Kluyveromyces lactis: one gene and its partners. The protein of the gene in region 2 binds, or shares a complex with, the protein of the main gene of each other region. Links are inferred from orthologs where the notes say so. Each region holds a gene or a part of one and is shown on either strand. Other genes may lie near its edges. The genes, in order: MRPL17, MRPL35 and MRPL31.

Region 1 (2,899 bases), on a different chromosome or scaffold from region 2:
CATTTCTTTTGATGGGTCAATAATATCTATTTTGAGCAAAGCATTAGACTCTCACGATTCATTTTTAAGTCTCTATTGGTACAATGATTTGTCTATCCTATACAACACGGTGGTTAAAAATTCATCACGTTCCACAATCAAGTGGTCAAAGTCGTGCTTAATATTTTACACCACTGGTGCTCTTGATAAAATGACAATGGTTGATTTACGTTCAGGCAGACCGAAAACTATGGTATCGACCGATGATCGTAAACGAAATGATTTTGTTAAGAAAAGCACCGATCGGAGCAGTAGAACTCAAAGAGACACACCACAGCGCGGGAAGAGGGATAAAGAGCTGCGCAAACAACCATACAAGAGAGATGCTGATAAATTCAGTGAGAAGTCGTTTGGTCGCTCCAACACAGGGTCTTCTTTTAGAAAGCCAAATGATAGATGGTGATAGATTTAAAAGTTAATTAGCATTCTTACAAGTATATAATGTTCCAATCTTAAAATCAATCAGAGTTCAGCAATATGTATATGATTGTTATCTTTTAGTGTTCGATACGGGTTGGAATTTCTATCCGAAGCAGTATTTACAGGAGGGTTTACATATATATATAGTGATTAAATCATGCCAATACTTTCTGTGTTTGATGATAATATGTTAATTCTCAGCAAGAACATATTGTATACTATTGAAATATCTCTCGTCAACAGCTTTCTTGATTTCATCTTTTGTCAACCATGCAAATTCTTTGATTGACTTTTCATCCTTTAACTTGAATTCACCTGCTATGATATGCGATTTGATCAAAAACTGGAGATCTTTTTCAGATTGTAGAACACCTGCTGGAGTATTCGACACAGTCCATGTATTAATATCTTCTCCGCCGATTTTTCTTAATCCCACTTCAGCGGTCTCATGTAAAGCTTTCTTTCCTTCCTTAGCTTCAATATCAACCGGGAAACTTGGAAGAACCCAGCTTCCCTTGTCATCCTTCACAAGCAAATGCAGAGTTCTGTCCAATTTTCTGTCTAAACTAGTAATATCGTTATTTTCGTCTGCCTTTGTAGTTCTGGAATTAGGAACAATTGGCCTTGAGACATCAGACTTGTTTGAACCTTCTGAAGCCTCTCTTGGTAGCATAATATCTTGCTTTTGACTTCTTTCTCTGTTATGTCTGACGTCTGGCACTCCTTTAGGGAACCATACACCAGGCTGCTTGCTAATCACACCTTTCTGTACAGACTGGAAACGACGCTCTGCCAAAGTACCTTTTTTGAAATAGAAATAAGATGGAAATGTCCACATTAGTCTTCTTTCCAGTTCTGCCTGGTATTGGTAGTACTTGTTCTCTAGTGCATTCAATTCTGGAGTGACGATTGGAACACGAGAAAGTACCAAACCTGCCTTTACTGCCTTGGGAATCGAGCTTGCTGCTGCTTTCACAGACATTTTTATTTATAATTGTGTCGATGAAGAGGGTTGCTGACTGAATATACACGATGATTGACAGCTGGTGAATATGCTTCCCAATTCTGATAAGCGGCACTATTTCAACATGATGCTGATGTTCCAATAATTTTTCAAATTGTTTGAACATCCTCTCATGCCTACTATTCCAAAATTTTTCAATATGAAATAATCGATCACGATATACGGATTTGATAACTTTCCAAGTGGTGTCACTAATAGAACAAAGTAGTGAGTGAATTGCATATGCATAAAGGCTATCAGATACAGAAAATTATTTAAGTGCATTTATATAAGCATTATTTTGGCGTTTGGTTCAAAATATTCATCAATGTGTTTAATTGCGCAGTTGGATCGAAATTTTGTGGGGGTTGAGGAGATTTTTGGCCCGAAGGTTGAGTAGACTGATGCGATTGCTGCTGCTGCTGCTGCTGCGCAGATGATGCCGATCCCAGCAGTTGATTTTGACCATATACCATTGATGGAGGCTGCTGATACAATGGCTGGTTATAATACTGTTGTTGGATTTGAGGAACGTTCGGTATTTGTGATGTTTGAACCGGAGGAGGAGGAGGAGATATATTACTGTAGGGGATAGGTGTTTGAGAGACAGCAGTAGCTTGACCAACTTTACCAGACTTGGGACCCAAAACACCTTTATCAGTTGGCATCTTTTGCGAAATCGCTTTTGATGAAACACCTTCACCAACAATAATATCGGGCTCCTCATAAACCATGTTTGTTTGGATTGGTTGACCACCAGTACCACCCCATTCCGCGGACTGTGACCATTTGAAGTCAATTTCGGTTAGCCTGGCCAATGGGATGATTGAATATCCATATTGATAGTCACAACAGTCTCTAGGACCGAAACCAACGGCCCAACGGATTCTCAAACCATGTGTCGGATTGCCACCACCAGTGAAATGCGCCATGATCCTCTCCGCTTCTGCTCTTGAATAGACTTTCACAAAGGCGTGCTTACGGGCATTATTCAAAATAACACTCTGAACCTCACCGAATTGTCTTAACATTCTTGCAATATCATGTTCTTTGAAATTTTGTGGGACACCACCAACGAAAAGGGTTCTGGAATATACTTTTACGTGGTCCCTTGGCACAGTTGGATCAAAGGATACCGGTTTTGGCCTAAAATGAGGGTTTGAGGGAACATTCTGCTCATCTGGGTACAAATGATGGTTATTTCCTTGTTGACCATTAATTGACTGCTGCTGTTGTTGTTGTTGTTGTTGTTGTTGTTGCTGCTGTTGCCTAGATAAATGCAGAGAAGTTGTTGCCTGTGCTCGAGATCTGTCATTTTTGTTTCTTGGGGGTGATCTAGATCTGTCATTTCTGGAGTCTCTTCCAACGTACTGCGTTGAGCGAGTAGACCTTGACGATGAAGAGGTAGAAGAGGTAGAATTATCTATCGAGCGAGGA
Region 2 (3,193 bases):
AGGGAAAGGAACTTGTATGCATAACTCCGAGCTGAAGCATAATAGAAAAATAAAAGGTTGTATTCTCTGTTTGAATTCTGGTAGTCAACAAGAAATGATGACAACAAGAGTTATATCTGCTTTCCTCGACTAAGAACGAAAGACCTCACGAATCCTTTTTTTTGTTACGATTAGATTTACAGCCAATACAATAACATATGAAGAAGAAACAGCCAAAAAAAAAGAAGATTCTATATATAGCCTCTAGGAAAATATTCAATCAGAGGCAGTCCAAAAAAACAGACGCACATGAACGCACGCACCATACACCGTATTATTACTATATAATTTATTATGTTACCGGGAATAAATGTTAACTAATGATCATATTCTTAATAGATTCGAACAAGCTTTTTAGTTTTTTTTATGATTTGCGTATGTTGCATTGATTTTCTACATTGCATATTATTTACATGAGGTATGAGATATTATTCAGACCACCTGAGGTTGTTGAAAAGTGTGTAATCATATATATCGCGAGAGAGACGAGGAGGAAATAAACTCTTTCTGGAAACTTTCATTTTTTTTTTCATACAACAGATCTACGAACTCTATGGAACACTCTCCCTTCTGGTAATCCGTATTTCTCTCTAATGTTTGCCACGTTAGAATCCCATTCTGATCTCCAAACATGAGCACCAACCGGGTCCAAGTTGTGGGAACGAACAAATTCTCTAATATCGAAGTTTTCTCTATCGACTGGTTCAGGGGATTCCAAATCACCATTCTGTCTGAATACCCATACAGAGAACCTTTGCTTGCCAACATTTTTCTCAGGTACTGGAGGAATGTAATCTGCAAGAATCTGCGATTCATTGTATTTTCTTGGATCTACCACGTTGTCGTTATAGTCTATCTTTAAATTAGTCAAACCGAACGCCAAAGTCGTCTTGAATGTATCATTCAACACATCCGGTTCATCTGGATTCACAATTACCACAGTGTATTTTTGCTTTTCGAAGTCGATACCGTTCTCGTACTCTTGAATCTTAATTGTTGGAACCATCGAAGTCGTGTTGGAGGACAAAATTTCACCAGGTTCAACCCATTTGTTCACACCAGTACTGAATGGGAAACGTAAATTAACCTGTACTCTTGGTTGTAAAGTAGGTAACGTATCGGGGATTACACTCAAAGTCTCTAGTCTTTGCATTAACAACATTTTTTCGTAGGATTCCCAATGCTTCAGCCCCAAACGCCTGTACACTGGAACAGCATAATCTATCACTCTAGTATCGTTCTCTAACTTGTCATGATACTGAAAATTGTATTGGACCTCTGGGTTATGCAATTCAGCCTCTGTTTCTAACTTAGCACGTACCTTGGCATCAGTCTCATTTTCTAGTTGCGAATACTTCTCTTCAGCGCGCTTACTCATAAACTCATAACTCAAGCGGAACATCTCATCAATATGTTCAGGAGAGGTATACTTCAAACGGTTCATCCTCCGCTTCAAAGACGGTGGACCTCGTCTTCTAACGTCATCGCTGTCGCCTTGAAAGATGTATTTCTTAATCGATTCTGATGCTAAACCAAGCGACTTGGATCTCTTAGAAAAGTCCGACCATACCCCGGTTTTCTCTAAACATTTGGCACTGCTGTGCAACCCTCTACGCAACATTCTCCAATTCGAGTTGTTAGTCTCTGAAACACCCTCCAATGGGATCCTACAACTGATTATTCATGTATCTTCATTGTCCGTTCATACTTAAAACTCATCTGAATCGTTCGAAATCGATTTTTCACCAAAAAATTTTAATGTGTTTCAGTCCGGGTAACAGAAGATCGTGCCTCTCGCTCCAAGTGGAAGTTCAGAGATCAATAACTGGTAAGCTTTGCCTTTGAGACTGCCATTCGGTTTCATATGTTGCAAATGACGCTCTTCTGATCCAGCGAACCCATCATATCCATCTTTCTTTGTATATTTTCTTCTTCCCTTTCCTATATGCGGATTATAATGATCATTTATGTTTGAAACGACGAATCTTATATGAGAATGCTCATCGCGACATTGTTTCAGATCTGTAAAGACAAGATGCCTCAACTTTTTCCTGGTATAAAGACCCTTTGCCAATCAGCATTGTAGGTTTACTTCTCATTCCCTGTATTATCCTGTATAATATTCAAAAGCTTATTAAATCAAATATGAACGGTTCAGAACCGAATTCTACAGAGTTAAGGCACGATGTCGAGGCAGTTACCATACTAATATCTAAACTTCAAGTTTACTCGCAGTTTGATACACAAACTCCAACAGAGAGAGCTTTTCCCTCTATGTTCAGCTCCGATTCTGATATAAGCGACTCAATTGACTCTGATGTCGGAGATCAGCTAAAGAGACGGTCTTCTTCAATACTGCGCAAAATGTTTAATAGGTCAAAGAAACTACTGCCAAAACTACACAAGAGGTGAAACGTATGAGCAGTTGTGCTGCTGGATAATGGAGGAGCTTCTCTTTTCATACTACTCCGTCTTATATCAAAATTTCTACGCTCACTTCTGAGCTTTTCAGCAGGGAAGGTAGAAAAAAATTTTGACACATTGACGAAAACAGATTGATAACACTTAAGACCTTTGATAAAGCTTTGAATGACACCTACTCTTTGATTTCATATTGGATTTTTCACTATATAAGACAACTGGGGTGATATATCCAGAGAACCAATTAGGTATTGGAATAGTTTATACCTGATTCACTGAAAGATGGCTGACGTTAAGATTCAAACTCTACCAACCGACTTTAGGGCCAACCATTATGAGATTGAATTGAGTGAGTTAGATGCTGAGCACAATTCATTTATCGGATCCGTGCGTATTATTATGTCCACTGTTAATGCCAATGACATGATTTCATTGAATATGAGGGACATTGAGATCGTTTCTGCGGTGGTTGAACTGAAAGAGGGGTCTGTGTCTTTGGGAATGAAGGACCATAGTTTCGATTTAGAGAACGATGTTGTTTCCTTGAAATTTCCGGAGAGTATATCTGATGATGAATTCGTGTTGAAGATCGATTATAAGGGTATGATTCAGACTAATATGTCTGGATTCTACCGTTCAGATTATACTGATTTTGTTACCGGTGAAAATAAGGTAATGTTTTCCACTCAGTTCGAGGCAACGGATGCTCGCAGAGCATTCCCATGTTTCGATG
Region 3 (2,046 bases), on a different chromosome or scaffold from region 2:
ATTGAAAGCGATGTCTCTAATATTAAAGAGATCAAGAGTAATATGAGACAGCTCACGAAATTGATGGCTGAGAAACAAACACACCACAATGAGCTCATGAAACAATTGCAATCACAGCTGCAAAGACAGCAAACTAAAGTGCAGGCACTTAAAAAGAATTTTCAGGAGCAAACAAGCCAAGTGAAACGCGTAGAGGACGAATTAAACATACCGAAATTGCAACAAGACATAGATAAACTGGTACAGGAAATTAACCAGCTTCGAGATACGATACAAGAGGGTATTCAAAAGGTCGTAGAAACACAGAAACAATTACTCAATGACGATACTGATGCTGCCCACACGATTGATGAGGAACCGATCGGTAAAGATGACAAGATACGTGTGCTAAAGTTGAAGTTGTTCCATTCCCTTGACGTAGCACTATATAATGACCAATTGCTCGATCTAAGGAATGAAGCCCGTCCATTATCATCATCATCATCATCTCACAACATCTGGGATGAACTATGATACCTTGATTTTATTCACTATGTACAGGGGCTACTTACTATGTAATAATAGAAGTTTTTAATGATGATTCATCCAAATCAGAAATGACGTGGGTTTCTTCTGATGGAAAGCTTGGTCCATTTGGGAACTTTATGTATACCCTTTCTATATCCCTTCGAGTACCTGTTGAATACACTGTACTTATCAGTAGCAGACATCTCCGGTTCCTTTGGGAAATACTGAGCCTTGTCTAAAATACGTAAGCTCTTCACACGAGGTTTAATCTTACGTAGATTCAGCTGAGATCCCTCAGAAACCGCCATATGGTTTCTTTCAAGATGAAGACCTAACTTAAGAGTTGAAAGAACATCATCAACGCTTCTCAAACGGTCTCTTTGTCTTGCTTTTTGAGGACCAGACATACGCCATGGGACTTTCCATAATAATCCACCTAATGCAGGTTGTGTAGCTCTGAATGCACCGAACATTTCTCTATGAAACAAAGATATTCAATTGACCCGGGTATGACAGAACCTAACGAGCTGCTTAAACAGTTTGTATAACGGTGCTACTGGCTGGCTTTTACCAATTTCCCACCGTAATTCATGGTATTAAATCTTTTAAACCTTCGAAATTTTTCAAAGTATCCATGAAAAAGCTTTAAATCTCAACATTATGCAAATGAACAATGTCAACTGATTTAAACGATTTTGGGGAACAGCCAGCGTATTGTCATTTGTAGCTGCTGCTGTGTCCATAACCATAGGTCAGAAGTTCTTATAGTACTGGAATACTGCACCACAAAGATAGATTATTCATTTAGAAATGTCAGAGGGCGTTGGAAAGCATAATCAAAGATTACCAATTTGGGTATTGAACCCTACCGAGGAGAAAGAAGCTCGTCAGAATTTGAAGAAATTTGCATATGCACAATGTGTAGAATACGTGGAGGCCATGGTCGAATGTTCAAAGATTCATGGATTGAAGCTTTTCCCAGCGTGTAACGAACCTCGTGACGCTATGCGCAAATGTATATTATCATACCAGAAGGATTCTAATCTGGATCGTCAACGTGACTTGATAGTGGAACGTAAGATTGAGAGACTTGAGGATCTTCTCAAGAAACAAAAGGAATAAAGTTGACATGATATGACATGACATGACATGCCACTGGGGTTACTTGTATATAGTAGTAGATACTGCACCATAATAAATTAACATTTTAGAAAGGCACATCCATGATTGAAGTTTATCTGCTTCATTGTTTCCCATTATAATTATAGTTTGTACAGGTGTTCAAAAGAGTAAACTAGTTTACATTAAGTCTAGAAGATCGGTTGCATGGGAATTCGAGGTGTTGTTGTTGTTATTATTGGTTTTCTGTGAAATGTTTACTTTCCCCATATCACCAGTGATATCGAAAAGATCATTTAGTTCGTCCAGGACGCCTGTACTTCTCGTGGCAGAGCTATCACCCATGTCAAGTAGTACATCATCGTTCATGTTTTTCAGGATCTCGTTCGTGGCCATTCCCTTTAATTCATCAATATCCTT

The links.
Region 1: MRPL35 (region 2) and MRPL17 share a complex: the UniProt entries of both Saccharomyces cerevisiae proteins name them as parts of the mitochondrial large ribosomal subunit. The link is inferred for Kluyveromyces lactis from reciprocal best matches to the Saccharomyces cerevisiae genes MRPL35 and MRPL17.
Region 3: MRPL35 (region 2) and MRPL31 share a complex: the UniProt entries of both Saccharomyces cerevisiae proteins name them as parts of the mitochondrial large ribosomal subunit. The link is inferred for Kluyveromyces lactis from reciprocal best matches to the Saccharomyces cerevisiae genes MRPL35 and MRPL31.

What each region holds. Positions count from the first base shown.
Region 1 is NC_006039.1:256,844-259,742, forward strand, and holds MRPL17 (mitochondrial 54S ribosomal protein mL46), read right to left. Parts: upstream 1,442-2,899; coding exon 650-1,441; downstream 1-649. Other genes in the region: TEX1 (Tex1p), read left to right, coding at 1-442; Nrd1 complex RNA-binding subunit, read right to left, coding at 1,759-2,899. UniProt on the Saccharomyces cerevisiae protein: Component of the mitochondrial ribosome (mitoribosome), a dedicated translation machinery responsible for the synthesis of mitochondrial genome-encoded proteins, including at least some of the essential transmembrane subunits of the mitochondrial respiratory chain.
Region 2 is NC_006040.1:1,119,412-1,122,604, reverse strand, and holds MRPL35 (mitochondrial 54S ribosomal protein mL38), read right to left. Parts: upstream 1,661-3,193; coding exon 569-1,660; downstream 1-568. Other genes in the region: KLLA0_D13079g (uncharacterized protein), read left to right, coding at 2,185-2,451; KLLA0_D13068g (M1 family metallopeptidase), read left to right, coding at 2,743-3,193. UniProt on the Saccharomyces cerevisiae protein: Component of the mitochondrial ribosome (mitoribosome), a dedicated translation machinery responsible for the synthesis of mitochondrial genome-encoded proteins, including at least some of the essential transmembrane subunits of the mitochondrial respiratory chain.
Region 3 is NC_006041.1:1,082,220-1,084,265, forward strand, and holds MRPL31 (mitochondrial 54S ribosomal protein mL60), read right to left. Parts: upstream 981-2,046; coding exon 591-980; downstream 1-590. Other genes in the region: kinetochore-associated Ndc80 complex subunit SPC24, read left to right, coding at 1-513; CMC1 (Cmc1p), read left to right, coding at 1,318-1,629; APL2 (Apl2p), read right to left, coding at 1,807-2,046. UniProt on the Saccharomyces cerevisiae protein: Component of the mitochondrial ribosome (mitoribosome), a dedicated translation machinery responsible for the synthesis of mitochondrial genome-encoded proteins, including at least some of the essential transmembrane subunits of the mitochondrial respiratory chain.